Linked DNA regions of Arabidopsis thaliana. The protein of the gene in region 3 interacts with the protein of the main gene of each other region in a pairwise test. Each region holds a gene or a part of one and is shown on either strand. Other genes may lie near its edges.

What was found. Proteins that work in one complex are often made in the same cells at the same time.
Region 1: the proteins of AT4G12000 (region 3) and AT1G54730 interact in a protein complementation assay, tested with the Arabidopsis thaliana proteins (one large-scale study listed by BioGRID).
Region 2: the proteins of AT4G12000 (region 3) and AT5G41800 interact in a protein complementation assay, tested with the Arabidopsis thaliana proteins (one large-scale study listed by BioGRID).

What each region holds. Positions count from the first base shown.
Region 1 is NC_003070.9:20,422,742-20,430,373, forward strand, and holds AT1G54730 (Major facilitator superfamily protein), read left to right. Parts: upstream 1-1,604; 5' UTR 1,605-1,729; coding exon 1,730-1,876; intron 1,877-1,974; coding exon 1,975-2,037; intron 2,038-2,621; coding exon 2,622-2,711; intron 2,712-2,811; coding exon 2,812-2,871; intron 2,872-2,970; coding exon 2,971-3,036; coding exon of another isoform or gene 3,037-3,060; exon of another isoform or gene 3,061-3,462; coding exon 3,463-3,528; intron 3,529-3,683; coding exon 3,684-3,759; intron 3,760-3,835; coding exon 3,836-3,900; intron 3,901-4,036; coding exon 4,037-4,129; intron 4,130-4,223; coding exon 4,224-4,304; intron 4,305-4,384; coding exon 4,385-4,469; intron 4,470-4,558; coding exon 4,559-4,602; coding exon of another isoform or gene 4,603-4,653; exon of another isoform or gene 4,654-5,307; coding exon 5,308-5,370; coding exon of another isoform or gene 5,371-5,388; exon of another isoform or gene 5,389-5,646; coding exon 5,647-5,706; intron 5,707-6,047; coding exon 6,048-6,101; intron 6,102-6,572; coding exon 6,573-6,632; coding exon of another isoform or gene 6,633-6,704; exon of another isoform or gene 6,705-6,917; coding exon 6,918-7,032; coding exon of another isoform or gene 7,033-7,049; and 4 more. Other genes in the region: AT1G54720 (early-responsive to dehydration protein-related / ERD protein-like protein), read left to right, coding at 90-186, 659-796, 883-1,013.
Region 2 is NC_003076.8:16,731,740-16,736,621, forward strand, and holds AT5G41800 (Transmembrane amino acid transporter family protein), read left to right. Parts: upstream 1-1,923; 5' UTR 1,924-2,102; coding exon 2,103-2,187; intron 2,188-2,258; coding exon 2,259-2,489; intron 2,490-2,761; coding exon 2,762-2,859; intron 2,860-2,949; coding exon 2,950-3,136; intron 3,137-3,221; coding exon 3,222-3,352; intron 3,353-3,433; coding exon 3,434-3,670; intron 3,671-3,759; coding exon 3,760-4,149; 3' UTR 4,150-4,354; downstream 4,355-4,882. Other genes in the region: CIP1 (COP1-interactive protein 1), read left to right, coding at 1-652.
Region 3 is NC_003075.7:7,192,017-7,196,954, reverse strand, and holds AT4G12000 (SNARE associated Golgi protein family), read left to right. Parts: upstream 1-1,738; 5' UTR 1,739-2,012; coding exon 2,013-2,291; intron 2,292-2,614; coding exon 2,615-2,851; intron 2,852-2,930; coding exon 2,931-3,148; intron 3,149-3,241; coding exon 3,242-3,428; 3' UTR 3,429-4,422; downstream 4,423-4,938. Other genes in the region: AT4G12005 (uncharacterized protein), read right to left, coding at 1-64, 202-249.

The DNA of each region.
Region 1 (7,632 bases), on a different chromosome or scaffold from region 3:
CTTAAGTCTCTTACTCTATCTCTCTCTTTAACTGTATCTTAAACAAAAAGAAAGAGTATGATCATCAGAAGAAAAAAGAAACAACAACAATGGAGAGACAAAAGAGCATGGAAGCCAGTTTACTCAGGAAGAGTCTCAGCATAAGAGAAAGGAAACACCCAAATGAAGATGGTTACCCTGAATCCAGTTTACTCAGAAAGTGTTCAAGCATTTTATTTAACACCTTCTAGGCGTGAAATGAAAGATCTAAATCAACAGGGGTCAACTTAACTAGCATTGAGCTCTTCTCTAAGTGATGAGACTATGCAACTATATATCATGAATCAAACATTAAACACCCTAATCTAGCCTAACGATCACCTATGAATGAGACTACTCAATTATTATGACAATTAAAATACAAAATGTAAGAAAACTAAAGATTATCAATAAATTCTAAAACAATTGAATAAATGTTAGTGATGTTAGCCCAAAAGAGTTTAGATCTAAGAGGCTACTGAAAGTAAGAGCAAGACGGCTACTTTAGGTAATGTTTTGAGTGAACTTTGCTTTGTATTATTTCACTTAATCTTTAGGTTACAACATGGTTCCCTTTTATAGCTAAACAATGCTAGGGTTTCAATGATTGTAAACTGACAGCTGTCTCTGTCTTATCAAGCTTCGGAGGTCACCAAACAACCAAATCTGTTCTTTGTGTTGATTGGATCCGTACAGACGCTCCTCTTCTCTGTCTTCACTCTGATTTGTTTTCTTGCACAGGTGGTGGTCTTGTCTGTTGAGAAGAGGAAGAACACTTGTTGGGCTTCGTTGTTGTGTTGGTTGTGTTGTCATTGGGCCTGTTTGGTGAGTGGCCCAATAACCATTTTCCTTTGTTAAGCTGAGCGACGTCGTTTTCTTTCTTTGACTCTTTAGCTGAACTTGAGCTCTGCTTCGATCTCATTTCAGATCTTGGAGCTGTTGATGGCGGAGCAGTGGAGCTCTTGCTAATAGCTACTACAACTAACCATAAGTGAAAACTATATATGAAAAGCTTAGGATTTTAGTTCTTATATGATAGTATTTATATGAAAATATAAGTGTATCCGGATCGACCGATTCAGATTGGGCAAACCCTTAAAGGAGAAGTAGATAAATGATTGATCGTCTGGTCGATTACCATTATAAATCTCATGAAATACGTATGTCTTTCCTCTTTTTCGTTGAAGGACTAACTTTTTTCAAGAGAGATTTACCCGTTCGATTGCTACTGGTCTTAGTTTCTTCTTACTCGAACTCGTTATTCTCTTCTTGGTTCTTTGCTTGTTCCCATCTATAGAGTGTGTGCTTCAGATAGTTTCATAGACCTATTAAAAGATAATATATATTTGCAATGCATATGCTCTAGGATCTTAAATTCAAATCAAAACTAAAAATACAAAAAAAGAAAAGAAAAAACAAAAAAAAGAAGACATAAACCTAGTTGTTTAAACCACTAAAATACAAACGCATAAACTTACTACACATGAAAATGAAACGACTACATACGACTGACTACTTTGCATATATATATTTGTGAATTACTCTTCACTTTTTCTCTATATATAATAACAACTTGAAGACAAAGACAAAATAATAAAATAACCTTATCTCTTCTCTATATATTAGTTCTTGAGATCTCTCCAACAACTCTACTTTGTCTTTACTCAAGTATTTCACTAAGAAAGATAGAATCACAAAAAGGAAAGAGAAAATGAGAGGAGAAATCGATGAAGCTAATCTTGCTCCTGAAACTTCACTTATTAACAAAGAGAATCAAGACTCATCGGCGACAATAACAACTACTCTCTTGCTCACCACTTTTGTAGCCGTGTCTGGTTCCTTTGTCTTTGGCTCAGCTGTGAGTTTACAATTACTAATTTTTGCTTTTGTTCAGTAATTGTGTGTTGTGTTTTGTGTTTGAATCTTAATTTCTAATTTCGTTGAAAATTTTGGCAGATAGGATATTCATCACCTGTTCAGTCGGATTTAACCAAGGAGTTGAATCTCTCTGTGGCAGAGGTAAACTGTTATTTTATTTTTTTGTCTTTTAATTTATTATGCCATATGTTTTTGTTTGCTAGCTAGATAGGTAAAATATACTTAAGTACATTTAACTTATGTGTATAGTATTAGTTACTGATCTAATCAATGAGTATGGATTGAGGCAGTAGTTTTTTTTTTTTTTTTTAATTGAGGCAAGTAGTTGTGAAAGGGTTATGATACTAGAAGAAAATAATGAGTGGAGAATTAAAATTTAAAGGATTATCTCACTATTTTTGTACTAATAATGAGTGGAGAATTGACGGAAAAAAAAATGAGTGGAGAATTGAATTTTTGTACTGTAGACGTACTGGTCCTACTCCAAATGCTTGCATGTTGAGATAAATTAGTTGTGTCCGGCTATTAATTATGATCTCTATTTCGGTTAGAATTTTTTTTCTTTTTTTTTCTCCGTCTTGATTTAAGGTTTATAGGTGTGGAAAAAATATCATTTAGTAGAAAATTAAGAAATAAGCATACCTTTACGAAAGATGACAAATTATATAAACATCATCGTAAAAATCAAGATATATCACCTATAAATGTTTTTAAACTACATGCAGTACTCGCTCTTCGGTTCGATTCTGACAATTGGAGCAATGATCGGCGCAGCTATGAGTGGACGAATCGCCGATATGATAGGCAGACGAGCTGTAAAATTTGTTCTTCTTTCTTTCCATGACAAGCGAATATTTACATTTTTGCGTCAAACTGGTAAATAAATCATTTATTTGTGTGTGTGTGTGTGATTAGACTATGGGTTTCTCGGAGATGTTTTGCATTCTCGGCTGGTTAGCAATCTACCTTTCTAAGGTTAGCTTAGTATTTTTCTATATATCTCTCTGTATTTCTCATCAACTATATTTCTTCAAGAAGTACTTAAAATTTACCATGTGGTTTTTGTCTATTAAGGTTGCAATTTGGCTTGACGTTGGGAGATTCTTGGTTGGTTATGGAATGGGCGTTTTTTCGTTTGTGGTAAAATCTATAAACTCTAGCTAGTAGCTTGAATAATGAAAAATATTGTGGTGATTACAAGAAAACAAATTCGATGATCAATTGTAAGATGAGTGACCTAATGATCTAAATAAATATATCTCTACTTTTCTTATATATCTATTTACAATAAACATTAGCCTTCTACAATTGTTAATTTCTTAAAACGAAAGCTATATTGGTCATATTAGATACTAGATTATATGTTGAAACTATTTGTTGCCCCCAAGAGTATGATATTTCATATGTACTACTAGCTGGTATTCCGGCTTAAAATTGCGCATGCGAGGAACAACACAATGAAAAGATAACTTCTTCGATTTATGTAGCTGAAAGTTGTTGCTAGCTATAGTACAGTAGATTTTGTATCGTTCTTTCATCTAGATTGTTTTGTTAATCGATGATCAGGTTCCTGTATACATAGCTGAAATCACTCCTAAGGGTCTTCGTGGTGGGTTTACAACTGTTCATCAGGTATGAATATGTTATACAATAACTAAATTAGTTTTTATGAATATGTTATACAAGAACTAAATTAGTTTTTAAAAATTAAATCAGAAGTTACAAAATATATACTCTAAAAGTATTATTTTCATCTCCATCGATCTTTAACAGTGTTAACATTGCAGTTACTGATATGTTTGGGTGTCTCAGTCACATATCTCTTGGGCTCTTTTATAGGCTGGCGAATTTTAGCTTTGATCGGTAATATCCGTCAACATACTTTAAATAAGTTACTCATACTAAAAAATTGTTAATTAATTTTTTTTTTATGCTCCAGGAATGATACCATGTGTTGTACAAATGATGGGATTATTTGTCATCCCAGAGTCTCCTAGATGGTTGGTACGTTATCCGTCAACATACTACAAGTTTAATAGTTTTTATGTACCTAATGCCAAATCTAGTCTATCCAATCATTACGCTAAGTAACCCAAAACTTTCATTGTTATAGAAAATAATTGTTCGCAAAAATTCTCAGGCAAAAGTTGGCAAATGGGAAGAATTTGAGATTGCATTGCAACGATTACGTGGTGAATCCGCAGATATTTCATATGAGTCTAATGAGATCAAAGTAAAGTAACACTAAATTCTATTTCTTGAGCTCACTACATTTTTTACAAATTTCCATTAAAGTGTAAAATCTCCTGTATTTCTATATTTTCTAGGATTATACGCGAAGACTTACAGATTTATCAGAAGGTAGTATAGTAGATCTGTTCCAGCCACAGTATGCTAAATCTCTAGTTGTAAGTGTTTTTAACTTATAAAATTGTTCAATAAGTAGTTATTTTCATTATTCTATGATGAAATGCCAAGTGGGTTTTAGGTGGGAGTTGGTCTGATGGTTTTGCAACAATTTGGAGGGGTTAATGGAATTGCTTTTTACGCTAGCTCTATTTTCGAATCTGCTGGTACATGCACCTTTAATATTGATTAATGTGCCTAAACCCCAAAAATTAAAAAAGAACTTCACTAACCAACTTAATTTTTTGTTTTGTAGGGGTTTCTTCCAAAATTGGAATGATTGCGATGGTGGTCGTACAGGTAAGTTTTTGGGTATTATTATTTTATTTTCCCCAATTTTTTGATGGTTAATTAAGTGAATGAATATATATTTATATAGGGTAACAACACAACTAATACAAATATATATTACAAAAATAATATAATTATACTAAAGGATTTTTAGGGAAGAAAAACCTGAGAAAGAAAGAGAATATATAATGTTAGAGTGTGAATTGTTTCCATTCGAAAGAGAAGGAAGAGAGCAGGATAGCGATCAGTCGCGACGACTAATTCCTGGAGATTGTTGATCGATGCGATAGGTCGCTGGATCTGTCGCTAAATTTAACGACTACCAAACGACCATCACTGGCGACTACTAAACGATCATGACCATAAAATTATAAAATGAACACACGCTTCTCCGATACAAACCAAATCGTTCTAATCTGAGTTTCATTTGTTTACCTATCAAATACAAAAATTAATCTGACCCAAAATTTATCCTATAACAAGATTATAGAGAGATAAACCCGTAGAGGAACCATATATCAAGGTAACATGTTAGAAATACCTAACATTAAAGAAATGAGACGTTGAGTGATATATGAATAATATGGTCTAATCCACTTTTGTTTTGAATTGAAAAGCCAAAATAATTACAATTAATATATAATTGTTTAACATTTAAAATTCAATGTATCATTTCTTAAAATTATTTGTAGCTGAGACGAATTTTCTTTCCAGATCCCTATGACAACTTTAGGTGTACTGTTGATGGATAAATCAGGAAGACGACCATTACTTCTAGTAAGAAAAAACAAGTGACTAACATTTTTTTATAATGTTATTAGTCAAATACAAAGTAATTTTTACAAGTACCTTTTCTCACTATATTAAAAATAAAGTTTTTAAAGAATTTATGTTATAACTGTAGTTCCAACTTATTATTGTTTTTTTATCTTTTATTATTATTATTATACATTGGTGGATAATTATATATTGCCTCCCTAGTCCCTATATATATGTCAATATGTATATGTTGAAAGAATTACATATAATGAATTTAATATTTTATCTCTTCAGATTTCTGCTACTGGAACATGTATCGGGTGTTTCCTCGTCGGTTTATCATTTTCATTACAGGTTCTCTCCTTATTTATATTTTAAAATAATATCTTGATTTTATCTATTTTTAACATATTATGTTTTAGTATATTAATATCAGTATAAAAATTGAATATTTTTTGTCTACAGTGGTGCCATATGACTTTATTGTTACCATAATTATAATTTTTTCTTCTAATAGAGATTTAATATATTTTCTCGATCTATGTCTAGATCTAGATGATAAATATCTAGAAATATTAATTTTTATTGTTTGATTGTATATTAATATTAAAACTTCTCAAGTAGTTGCATATATGCTTCAAAATGTTTATAATTTCATATTATGTACTATAATTTTTGGGTTCATCCTGTTGTAGTTTGTAAAGCAATTGAGTGGAGATGCTTCATATCTAGCACTTACAGGCGTTTTGGTAAGTTTGACGACTAAAATCTAGATTTCCTTTTTTTTTATCCTCAATTTGAAAAGTTTGAAAATAGTTGATATGAATATGATAGTTTTGGCATACTGAAACGTTGCTGTTTGAAAGTGGGAATGACTGTACCAATAAGATGGTGCATGAAAAAAATAGAAGAACTGATATACACATCTATATCATCAAAATACGTTTATTTTTCCTGTAACTCGTTCTGAAAGAACTATATAGTAGACGTGTTTGAGTTGAAGGAATTTTACGATGAATGACTTGCTAAAACAAATTTCCGAATACTATGTCGGTGAGGAAAAACTACTAGAAAAGAACAAATAATATCATTATTGTTATTAACAAGTATTTCGTGGCTTCTGGGATAGCGAACCAACTATTGGATGAAATTAGAACCCACACACATACTTTGAAAGATCGTAGACGTCCATAAATGATAAATTTATCTTATTTTTTCAGGTGTACACCGGATCATTTTCATTAGGGATGGGTGGGATTCCTTGGGTCATTATGTCAGAGGTAAGTAACATTCATAAAAATTCTTTGGTTTTAAACATACTCTTATACTTAATAATCCGATCGATGTCTTAAGAAATATTAAACTTTATATCATAAACCTACGGTTTAGTATTAAAATTAAATAATAAATTATTTAACTCTCATATGGTTGTATGTGGTATGATTTTGATCAGTGTATATAAATTATGTTCCTTTATGATTTATTTATTGATTCTTTGTTTATATAACATTTTAATTCAATTTAGTTGGTGCGTAGATATTAATTTTATGTTTTATATGATAAAGATATTTCCAATAGACATAAAAGGATCAGCCGGAAGCCTCGTGACTGTTGTTAGCTGGGTCGGATCATGGATTATATCTTTTACATTTAACTTTCTAATGAATTGGAATCCGGCAGGTATAAAATTTGTTTAAATTTTGCTTTTATCAATAAATTTTGTTCTTTATCTAATAGTGGCACAAGTTTTAAATTTTCAGGAACGTTTTATGTTTTCGCTACTGTTTGTGGGGCTACTGTTATTTTTGTAGCAAAACTCGTACCAGAAACCAAAGGTCGCACACTTGAGGAAATCCAATATTCGATTGGTTATGTAGAATTGTAATGTATAGTAGTTGATTACGAGAATATCAGTCCCTAATTATAACGATTAAAAGTAAGATTTTTTATTTTTCTTCTTTCCTTTTGGTATAATCGTATCATCCTTTTTGCTTAGTGAATTTGAATAAATGGTGTTGTTTTTGGTTACCAAATATCGGAGAACATAATTGAAGGTGTCGAGGAAAAAAATCGAGGTTATGACGAGTTTACAACTTCTAAAGACAGTGAAAGATATTCGAAGTTTTTTTGGACATATATGTTGGGTTCTACAAAAAAATTATAAAATATTTCTTTGAGATAGTTAGACCGCTTACAAAAATGTTATGTATGGAGGTCAATTTTGATTTCATGGATGAGTGCAAAAAATCAATTTTAAAAAATGATTGTTTGACAAATATC
Region 2 (4,882 bases), on a different chromosome or scaffold from region 3:
GACGATGGAGAGTTTACGTAACGAGCTGGAAATGAAAGGAGACGAGATCGAAACTCTCATGGAGAAGATCAGTAACATCGAGGTTAAGCTACGCTTGTCGAACCAGAAACTGAGAGTAACCGAACAGGTACTAACAGAGAAAGAAGAAGCTTTCAGGAAAGAAGAGGCTAAGCACTTAGAGGAGCAAGCATTGCTTGAGAAGAATCTCACCATGACACATGAGACTTATCGAGGTATGATCAAAGAGATAGCAGATAAAGTGAACATAACAGTAGATGGGTTTCAATCCATGTCAGAAAAACTCACGGAGAAACAGGGGAGATACGAGAAAACTGTAATGGAGGCATCAAAAATACTGTGGACTGCGACGAATTGGGTGATAGAGAGAAATCACGAGAAGGAGAAGATGAATAAAGAGATAGAGAAGAAAGATGAAGAAATAAAAAAGCTTGGAGGAAAAGTAAGAGAAGATGAAAAAGAGAAGGAGATGATGAAAGAGACTTTGATGGGACTTGGAGAAGAGAAAAGAGAAGCGATAAGGCAATTATGTGTTTGGATCGATCACCATAGAAGTCGTTGTGAATATCTTGAGGAGGTTTTGTCTAAGACCGTTGTGGCTCGAGGCCAAAGAAGAGTGTCGCAGCGAACTTAAGGACTCAGTGCCATGGTACGTTGTTTATCTTTCCCAAGCCTAGTTTCCACCTCACATGAATGCAAACAATGAAACAACATATATGTGTTTATTAGGTTTTGGACTCTGGTCAATCAAGAAGCTGGTGGAGAGGTATTTTTGGTTGGGGACTTTTGGTGTACTTGTGTTCGATTTTGTTGCACTTTTATATGTTTGTTAACTTTTGTTGTATTTTGTAAGTCAAAATTTTTGGTTTATTGTGGGCAAAGTTGGTGGTGGTTTTTATGGGAGGTCAGGGAATAAAGGGGCTCACACAAATGGAGTTGATATTTTTTTTTCTTTGGGCGTCGGATTGTATAGAACGATTAAATGCTACTGTTGGTATAGTGCTTTTGCTTGTTTGGAATTTGTTATAGTATCATCTTTGCTCTTTCATAACAAAATTATACACATCGCTTTACAGAGTTTCGTTCTCTCATTCATTTCTTATTTTATTGGGTTTTTTTTTTTTGCATTAGCAGTCGTTATATCTCGCCTTGAATTTCTAATGTGAACTAGTTTGAAATGTTTGAAATGTTTATTCTTTAATAGCAACCACTTTTTTTTCAAGTGTTTTTCACAACCGAAAAAGTCAGCCATGTGAATGATACACAAAATAAGTCAGCCAGTAAGGTTTGGTGATGTTAGATCAATCAAATATTTGAGAAAAAATTCCATAACTAGTTGATATTTCCTAAATCGAAGTTAATTGAAAATTAAGTACAATTTGGCAATATCTTAAATTATTAAATTTTAAATAGAAACTCTATTCACTTTTATGAGTTTATGGAAACACACTACTTTCTCCTCTAAAATCAGACAGTGATTATACTTTGACCTTAAAATTTGAAAAGAGTCTAACACGTTATAATTCCCAATTACTTTATTATCTGATTAATTCACCAAGATACATTAAATCTAAAATTATGTGATAGATATTCATATAAATCATATTGGATTATTCCAACAAAAAAAAAACTCTTAAAATTTGTTTCCTTATTTACAAACAATACATTACTGAAAATTTCTAAATAAAATATCAAAAAGTAATTTCAAAACCTTGTTTTGTCAATTTAATATTTTTATTTTTACAAAAAAAAATCTGAAACATGCAAAGAAGCACAAGTAAAGTACAAGTGGAAATGTATGAAAATAGGAATCATAAAACTAATTTTTTAATTTAATGATAGGAATCTGAAAAAAGCAAAATTTTATCACATCCCGAATAAAGAGGAAAATGCAAAATATGTCTCCTTTTCTCACTATGACAGGTTGTTTCTTTAAAGAAGCAACGGAATTTAACATTATAGCAAACATTAACTATCACCAGCTATCATGCGCCCACCTCTCCACCGTGCTCTCCATCATCATCATTCCATATATAAATCATTCACTTGTAGAATCTTCTTCTCTTTCACACTAAAATTCATCGATGACGGATCCTCCCAGACCCGACCCGTTTCCTGTTACCCGACTCGATTCCGACGCCGGTGCTCTCTTCGTCCTCCAATCAAAAGGTTAAACCCATATATTTATGATATCAATCTCCAATTTTGGAATTTTAACTGATTTGAGAATTAATTCTCAGGCGAGTGGTGGCACGCCGGATTTCATCTAACGACGGCGATTGTTGGTCCGACGATATTGACATTACCATATGCGTTTAGAGGATTAGGATGGTGGTTAGGGTTTGTTTGTTTAACGACGATGGGACTCGTTACTTTCTACGCTTATTACCTCATGTCTAAGGTTCTTGATCACTGTGAAAAATCCGGCCGCCGTCACATCCGTTTCCGGGAACTCGCCGCCGATGTTCTTGGTATCATTCAAAATCTCTTCTTTGTATTTATTAATTTGCTTTTTTTGGATAAATCCGTAAAGGTTGGATCGTGTTTCGATTTGGATACTTTGACTTCTTGTTAGATTCGCCATCATCACACGTGTCTTAGTTTACCGTACCGGTCTAGGTTAGGCCTGTGTATTTCGGTTTATAGATCGGTTTACGTCATAAAGTCTGGTCTTTCCGGTTATTGAGTTTTGGGTTTAAGGGCCGATTTCGAATTTTGAGCCGGTTATTGTGATGTGGTGCAGGATCTGGATTGATGTTTTATGTAGTGATCTTTATTCAAACAGCTATCAACACTGGAATTGGTATTGGCGCCATTCTACTTGCAGGTCAATGTCTTGATGTAAGAAAGAAACCTAAATTTTGATTACTTGTTAAACAAGGTACTATAAGAACCGTACGGATCATCCTCTGTTTTTGTGTTACTACACAGATAATGTATTCGAGTCTTTTCCCGCAAGGAACGTTGAAGCTTTACGAGTTCATTGCTATGGTGACTGTTGTGATGATGGTTCTCTCACAGCTTCCAAGTTTTCACTCTCTTAGACACATTAACTGTGCGTCTCTGCTTCTCAGCTTAGGATATACTTTCCTCGTCGTTGGGGCTTGTATCAACCTAGGTATAATGATTCTTACGTTAGCGAAGAAACAACAACTTACTAATGTTCGAAAATTTAGATTCATTGCCCAGTTTTGGTTCTACAGGTTTGTCGAAAAACGCTCCTAAACGTGAGTATTCTCTAGAGCATTCGGATTCAGGGAAAGTTTTTAGTGCCTTCACATCAATTTCGATCATAGCTGCTATTTTCGGAAATGGAATCTTACCCGAAATACAGGTGAGAAATGTTTGCAATTTATTCAATACAAACATTGTATGTTATGTGTTTGAGATTTATGAGATGATTATATGTATGCAGGCAACTCTTGCTCCACCAGCCACAGGGAAGATGTTGAAAGGACTATTGTTGTGTTATAGTGTGATCTTCTTCACGTTTTACTCTGCTGCAATTTCGGGATATTGGGTTTTTGGTAACAATTCGAGCTCTAATATCCTCAAGAACTTAATGCCTGATGAAGGACCGACTCTGGCTCCTATCGTGGTGATTGGCTTAGCTGTCATCTTTGTCCTTCTTCAGCTTTTCGCCATTGGCCTTGTAAGTTTATAACTAGTGTGATCGTTATTCGATGTTACTTGGCTGTGAGACGAGTGACTAAATGTTTCTTTTTTTTGGTAACTGGTTAGGTGTATTCTCAAGTTGCGTATGAAATAATGGAGAAGAAATCAGCGGATACAACAAAAGGGATATTCTCAAAACGCAACCTTGTGCCGCGTTTGATACTAAGAACACTATATATGGCGTTTTGCGGGTTCATGGCAGCGATGCTACCGTTCTTTGGGGATATAAACGCGGTGGTAGGAGCGTTTGGGTTTATCCCACTCGATTTCGTGCTGCCAATGCTTCTATACAACATGACCTATAAGCCAACCAGACGGAGCTTCACGTATTGGATAAACATGACGATAATGGTTGTGTTCACTTGTGCAGGACTCATGGGAGCTTTCTCCTCCATTAGGAAACTTGTTCTTGATGCTAATAAGTTCAAGTTGTTTAGCAGTGAAGTTGTTGATTAGATGGTTTTGATAGTGTGATAAAAACATAAACAATACTTGTTTTGTGGTTACACTTGTACATGAATTTCTCGAGTTGATTCATTATCACACAAAATGCAAAACCAAACTAGTTACAAAATGCAAAACCAGACAAGGATTATCACACTTACGTCAATTGTTCTTGAGATGAATATGTTTTTTTTGTTAAATGATTTTCTATTTAAATACAAAGTTCCTTTGGGTATAAACACTAAACAGATTACTGGGTTCAGTAAACTCTCTCAGAGTGTGTTAATTTTCAGTATTCGTAGCTGATTGGTTCGGTTTCGGACCGATTGGATATCCACCAATCCGAAATAATACATTACATATTATTAATTTTATGCTCAATTCGGATCGTGTAATTCAGAATTTCATATTTGATATAGTAAATTTCAAATAATTTTGATAATTCTGATCGGATAATTCGGATATTTTGGATTTCATCGGATAATTCAAATCCAAATAAGAATTAAAACCATACATATTTTGGTTTCGAATACACTTGGGATTCTAAAATATCAATAAAAACCGATTTAAGTCTAAAAAAATTAGAATCATAAAATTGTTTGGATTCTAATCGGATTCTATCAGACCTAATCTAATCTGATCCGATCCAAAATTCGAATGCCCAGACTATCACATACTATGGTCATGGATTTCGGAGCGGATACTCCAATCTCATTTGCATTTTGTCTTCTTCTTCTTTTTTTTT
Region 3 (4,938 bases):
GAGTGCATTGTATGGTTGCATAAACCTCACATGTAAATCTCAAACGGCATAATGTCACCTGAAACTTCATACCAAACCAATTTTCAAAGATTAAACATATACTGGAGAAAATGATGTAACATGTCAAAGCACAGTCAATTTCTAAACAAACACTTTAATCTCAGGAGAAAGAAGAAAAACAGATTGCTTGGATCAACCAACCTCGTGGATTCTGAAACTTTGTGAATCTTGTTTCACGTTTTTTTCCATCAAATTTATAATTTTGATAAATTTGGAATCCAAATTTCAGAGTATGGCCGAAGAGAAGATGGCCGGAGAGGTTTCAAGAGATATCCATTAAAATCCAAGAGCGGTGAAAGTGAGAATAGGCGTTTTTGTGACGAGTCGAGAAGAAGAAAATTCGATCTCGGAACAGTAGAAAAGTAGCTCGCGGGAAAGATATCGGAAATGTTGCCGTTTCGGTGGTGGAAGGCATTGCGGCGATGGCGTCGTCAGATTGTGGTGACAAAGACAAATCGAAATTGAGGAAATTGGGAAATTGCGAAAACCGGGTCCACGGAGAATACGGAATGTCGACCACAGTGGATTATTGGTCGGTGAAATTAAACACGTATAATAAAATTAAAATAAAAGCTCAAAAAGTGGGAAACCCGCGACAAGCTAACCTCCTTATTTGTGGCCACGTGTATGGCCACCATCTCACTTCGTTGATGAATGTCTAGTAATGCCTAGTAAGAAACCAACATATATTATTCAATTTAAAAATATATGTATTTAATATTTTACATTAACTATAATATTTAAATAGTAATTCAGATTAATATTAATATTAATAAAATAAATAAATTCTTATCGAGACAAATTTAACGGAACGAATTTTAAAAATAATATTAATAAAAAAATTAAAATATCATTAATATATTGTTTTAATATAGTTTAAGTTTTAAATTTATTATTTTTTGATACTATCAATATTATACATATAAATCAGTCTGATTTACAAAAATTATATAAAATAAAATATATATAGTAATATAATGTTTTTAGTAACAATTAAATTATAAAATATAAATATCTCAGAAAATGATATAATTTAAAAACTTATATATAATAAATAATTTTTAATTTTAATATTTTTATTAAATATTACATGAGATGAGTTAAGAGATTACAAGACGGTTTATATTGTGGAACGGATTATAGTAGATGAGTTTGAATCAATATTTATAAATTTTTAAAATATCAGTAATATGCTGGTTTAATACGAATTAAATCCTCAAGTTTTAATTATTGTTCTTAAATTCGTGGTATATGTTACTTAATAACAATCGTAAACAAAACAAAAAAAATATTATATAAAGATAAATAATTTAAAATTTTATATTTTATATATATATATATATATTAGAAAAAAAAATTATCATGCGGTATATTACGGATTTAAAATCTGGTTTTATAATATACACCTCCCAATCAAAACAAATTTTACAACTACACCAAAATATTTGTCCCTAATTATTTTGAGACCTTAAAATCTTACAATGTAAAATTTGGTAGGGGCCTTAAATTATTATTTTTTTTCTTTCTAACAATATCCACACGCTTTTATGCCGACATGGTCCAGGTGTTTTCAAACTACATATTTTATTATTTTTCGTCAACCGTGAAATAACTATTTTATATTTCCTAGAATTTTTGGTAAACTGAATAAAAAATATAAAAAAATGCAAGTAACGACGGAAGAAATCATAAAGTAATAAGAAAATAATTTAAAAGAATGGGTACATGCGTCAAGCCATGACATTAACAAACAAACCGAAAAAAGAAAAAAACTCATCTTTCTCCAAAATCACACAAATCTTCTTTATTTGTTATTCTCAATCCTTCCTTCATCCCCAGGTTTCTTTCGATTCGTTGAGTCATTCAATTTTTCCATCACTGGGTTTTTCTCTCTGAATCCGATCGGAGAATCCAGTCGATTACTAATCTAGCGCTCTCTTTTTTTCTACTCGATGACTTATCACGAAGAAGACGATACAGTTTCTGAATTTCGAGTTAGAGTTGAAGAAGATGGAGTTGATAAATTAGGTCATTATGTTAAACTTACTGAAGATTTCGAAGTACATCGACAAGAAACAGAACAAGAATCTTCATCATCACCGTCTTCTTCTTCTTCATGTGGACAGAAACGATCTGTTTGGTTTTGGATCAAGCTTGGTCTTTTCTTCACTTTTCTAACTGCTTTGGGTCTCGCTGGTTACAAATGGCTATACCCTTTAATCATGGATAAGGTTTTCAATTTCCTCCAATGATTTCTTGTTGAATTGATCTTCTTCTGAAAGTCTTCTTCTTTATCTATTGGGTTTGATTATAGTTTCAACTACTGAATTAGATCCTTAGTGTATAAAAGAGGTTCCTTTATGATTTTGGTTCATGTGAATTGAAACTATGTATCCCTACGATTAGCTCAGTATCCAATAACCAAAGTGAGGTTTCGTTGTTGATGTTCTGTGTCTAAAATCGGTAGATTTTCGATGCTGGTGACAAATTCAGTCAGTGACATATTTGGCTCTGTTGCTGATTATGGGATTATCCATTTAACTTTTGTTTGCAGGAGCTAATCCCACTCATAAAATGGGAGATGGAGACATTTACACACCCTGTGTGCGGTATTCTTGTGTTTGCATCAGTCTCTTTATTCCCTGTGATACTTATTCCAACTACGCCGTCAATGTGGGTGGCTGGGATTACATTTGGTTATTTCTATGGCCTTCTCCTTACTCTTCCAGCTGTAGCTATTGGTGTTTCACTTCCTTACTTCATCAGCTATCTCTTCCTCAACAAAATTCAAGTATGTGTCTCGCTTAAGAACCAGTTATATTCTTAGTAACGACTACTTTGTATGTTGCTGAAATTGATGAATGTTGCAGGGTTGGTTAGAAAGATATCCAGATCAAGCTGCAATGTTGAGAGCTGCTGGTGGAGGCAGTTGGTTTCATCAGTTTCGTGCAGTTACCTTAATCCGGATTTCTCCATTTCCTTTTGCTGTATATAATTACTGCGCTGTTGCAACTCGTGTGAAGTTCGGTCCTTACATGGCTGGTTCTCTCGTAGGCATGGCGCCGGAGATTTTTGTCGCAATTTATACGTAAGTGTGGAAATGACTTACAATTTTCTTGGTAATGAATGAATGATTGATTTAGCATCCTGATAGTATTTTTGTTTGTTTTGGTGTTTGCAGAGGGATTCTTATAAGGACATTGGCAGATGCATCCACTGCGGAACAAAAGGGTCTCTCGATTCTTCAAATTGTTCTCAACATTTTTGGTTTTGTAGCAACTGTTGTGACAACTGTTCTCATCACTAAGTATGCGAAAAGACAGCTTGAAGTTATGAAGAAGGAGAAGGAAGCTTTGTTGTTACAGTAATGGAGACAACAACCTCAGAAGTTATGTCTCTGCTTATTCCCAAAGTACAGGTTTTCGTCCATGATGTGAAAGAACTCTTGATTTTTGGTCTCTGTTTTGGTTTGTTTATAGCCGAGAAATGAAAGGGTATAAAAGAAATTATAATGACTATATAAACACTAACTAAACTCTCTAACACGATTTAATCTTATTTGCGTTTTCTCAATCTTTTGTTTTTTGATGTTTGAAAAGAATGGATCAATTGAAAACTTAAGATCATTACTCCTCCTTCGTTTTCTCGTTTATATTCTCTAGTAAGTATGAACTAACTATGAAGATTGGAAATTGTCTAATTGGTAAATAGTGCAAGTGTTGTGTCAGATATTCGTAGGTGACTAGTGAAAACTTGCACTTCGAATATTATGGGCTGCATTGAGAAAAAGCCCAATATAGCTTAGATGGCCATTTAATTGTTTCTATCAAAATCAAATGCGTCTCTTTTTCGAACTATAATGGTCAAGAGTTATTTGTAGCCTACGAGTACGACATTGCTATGCGTTCGACATATTAAATGGTGGAATTGAAGAAGAAACCTTAGCTATGATTCATCACAATATGTATGATCTATATTTTTTCAATTTGAAATAATGGAGTTATTCTAGACCAAATCGAATCTTTTGTTAAATGGATTTCTACTAAAATTAATCAAAGACTGTTTTAATTACCATTTTTTTTTTTTTGCGGTTTGTGAAACCAGTGTGAATCTGCCCAAGTGAAGAGTGCGAGAGATAAGAGGAGAAGAACTATATGGAGAGTTCTTGGGGATTTGAAGCTGCGGTTTTTCTAGTATCGGATTTGGACATCTATATTCTGCTTGAAAATTCACACTAGAAAATGAAGTGCTTCTGCGAGTCATTTGTCTCTTGCATAAGATACAAAGTGGAATTGAAATAACTTTATGTGAAATATATATAATTCTAAAATATGAAGCTAAATATAAACCAATTTTCTACATAAGCTTTTTCAAATTTTAAAGATATACTTACAAGAATCGATCAATAATTGATTCAGTTTTTTTATTTTTTTTTATTTTTATACTGGTGCATTTGAAGCTCTCCTAAGTCCTATAACACAACAAATATGTTCAACTACTCTCATCCCGAAATAAATGTTGTCTTAATTCCCTTCAAAAATGCTTTTGGTCCAAAACCCAATATCCTTTGAAACACTTTTGTCTAAAAGTATATGTAAAGCCATTTACATTTTGTCCTACCTATGAACCACAAAATTAAATATTTGTCTTATTCTCTAAATATTTCTTTTAGATTAAAGTATGTGTATTCAATCAGCAGTAAAAAAGTTACATGTCAAGACTTAATGTAGTTTGCATTTTCTGAATATTCTGGTTTGAATTAAACTATATATGCTTCTGACTCGGTACCACTTTCAACAGTCTATCTATGTGTCTTTTTCATGCGAATAAAATCCATTGCTCATTAATGGTAATTTGTCATCTGGTGAAACACATGCT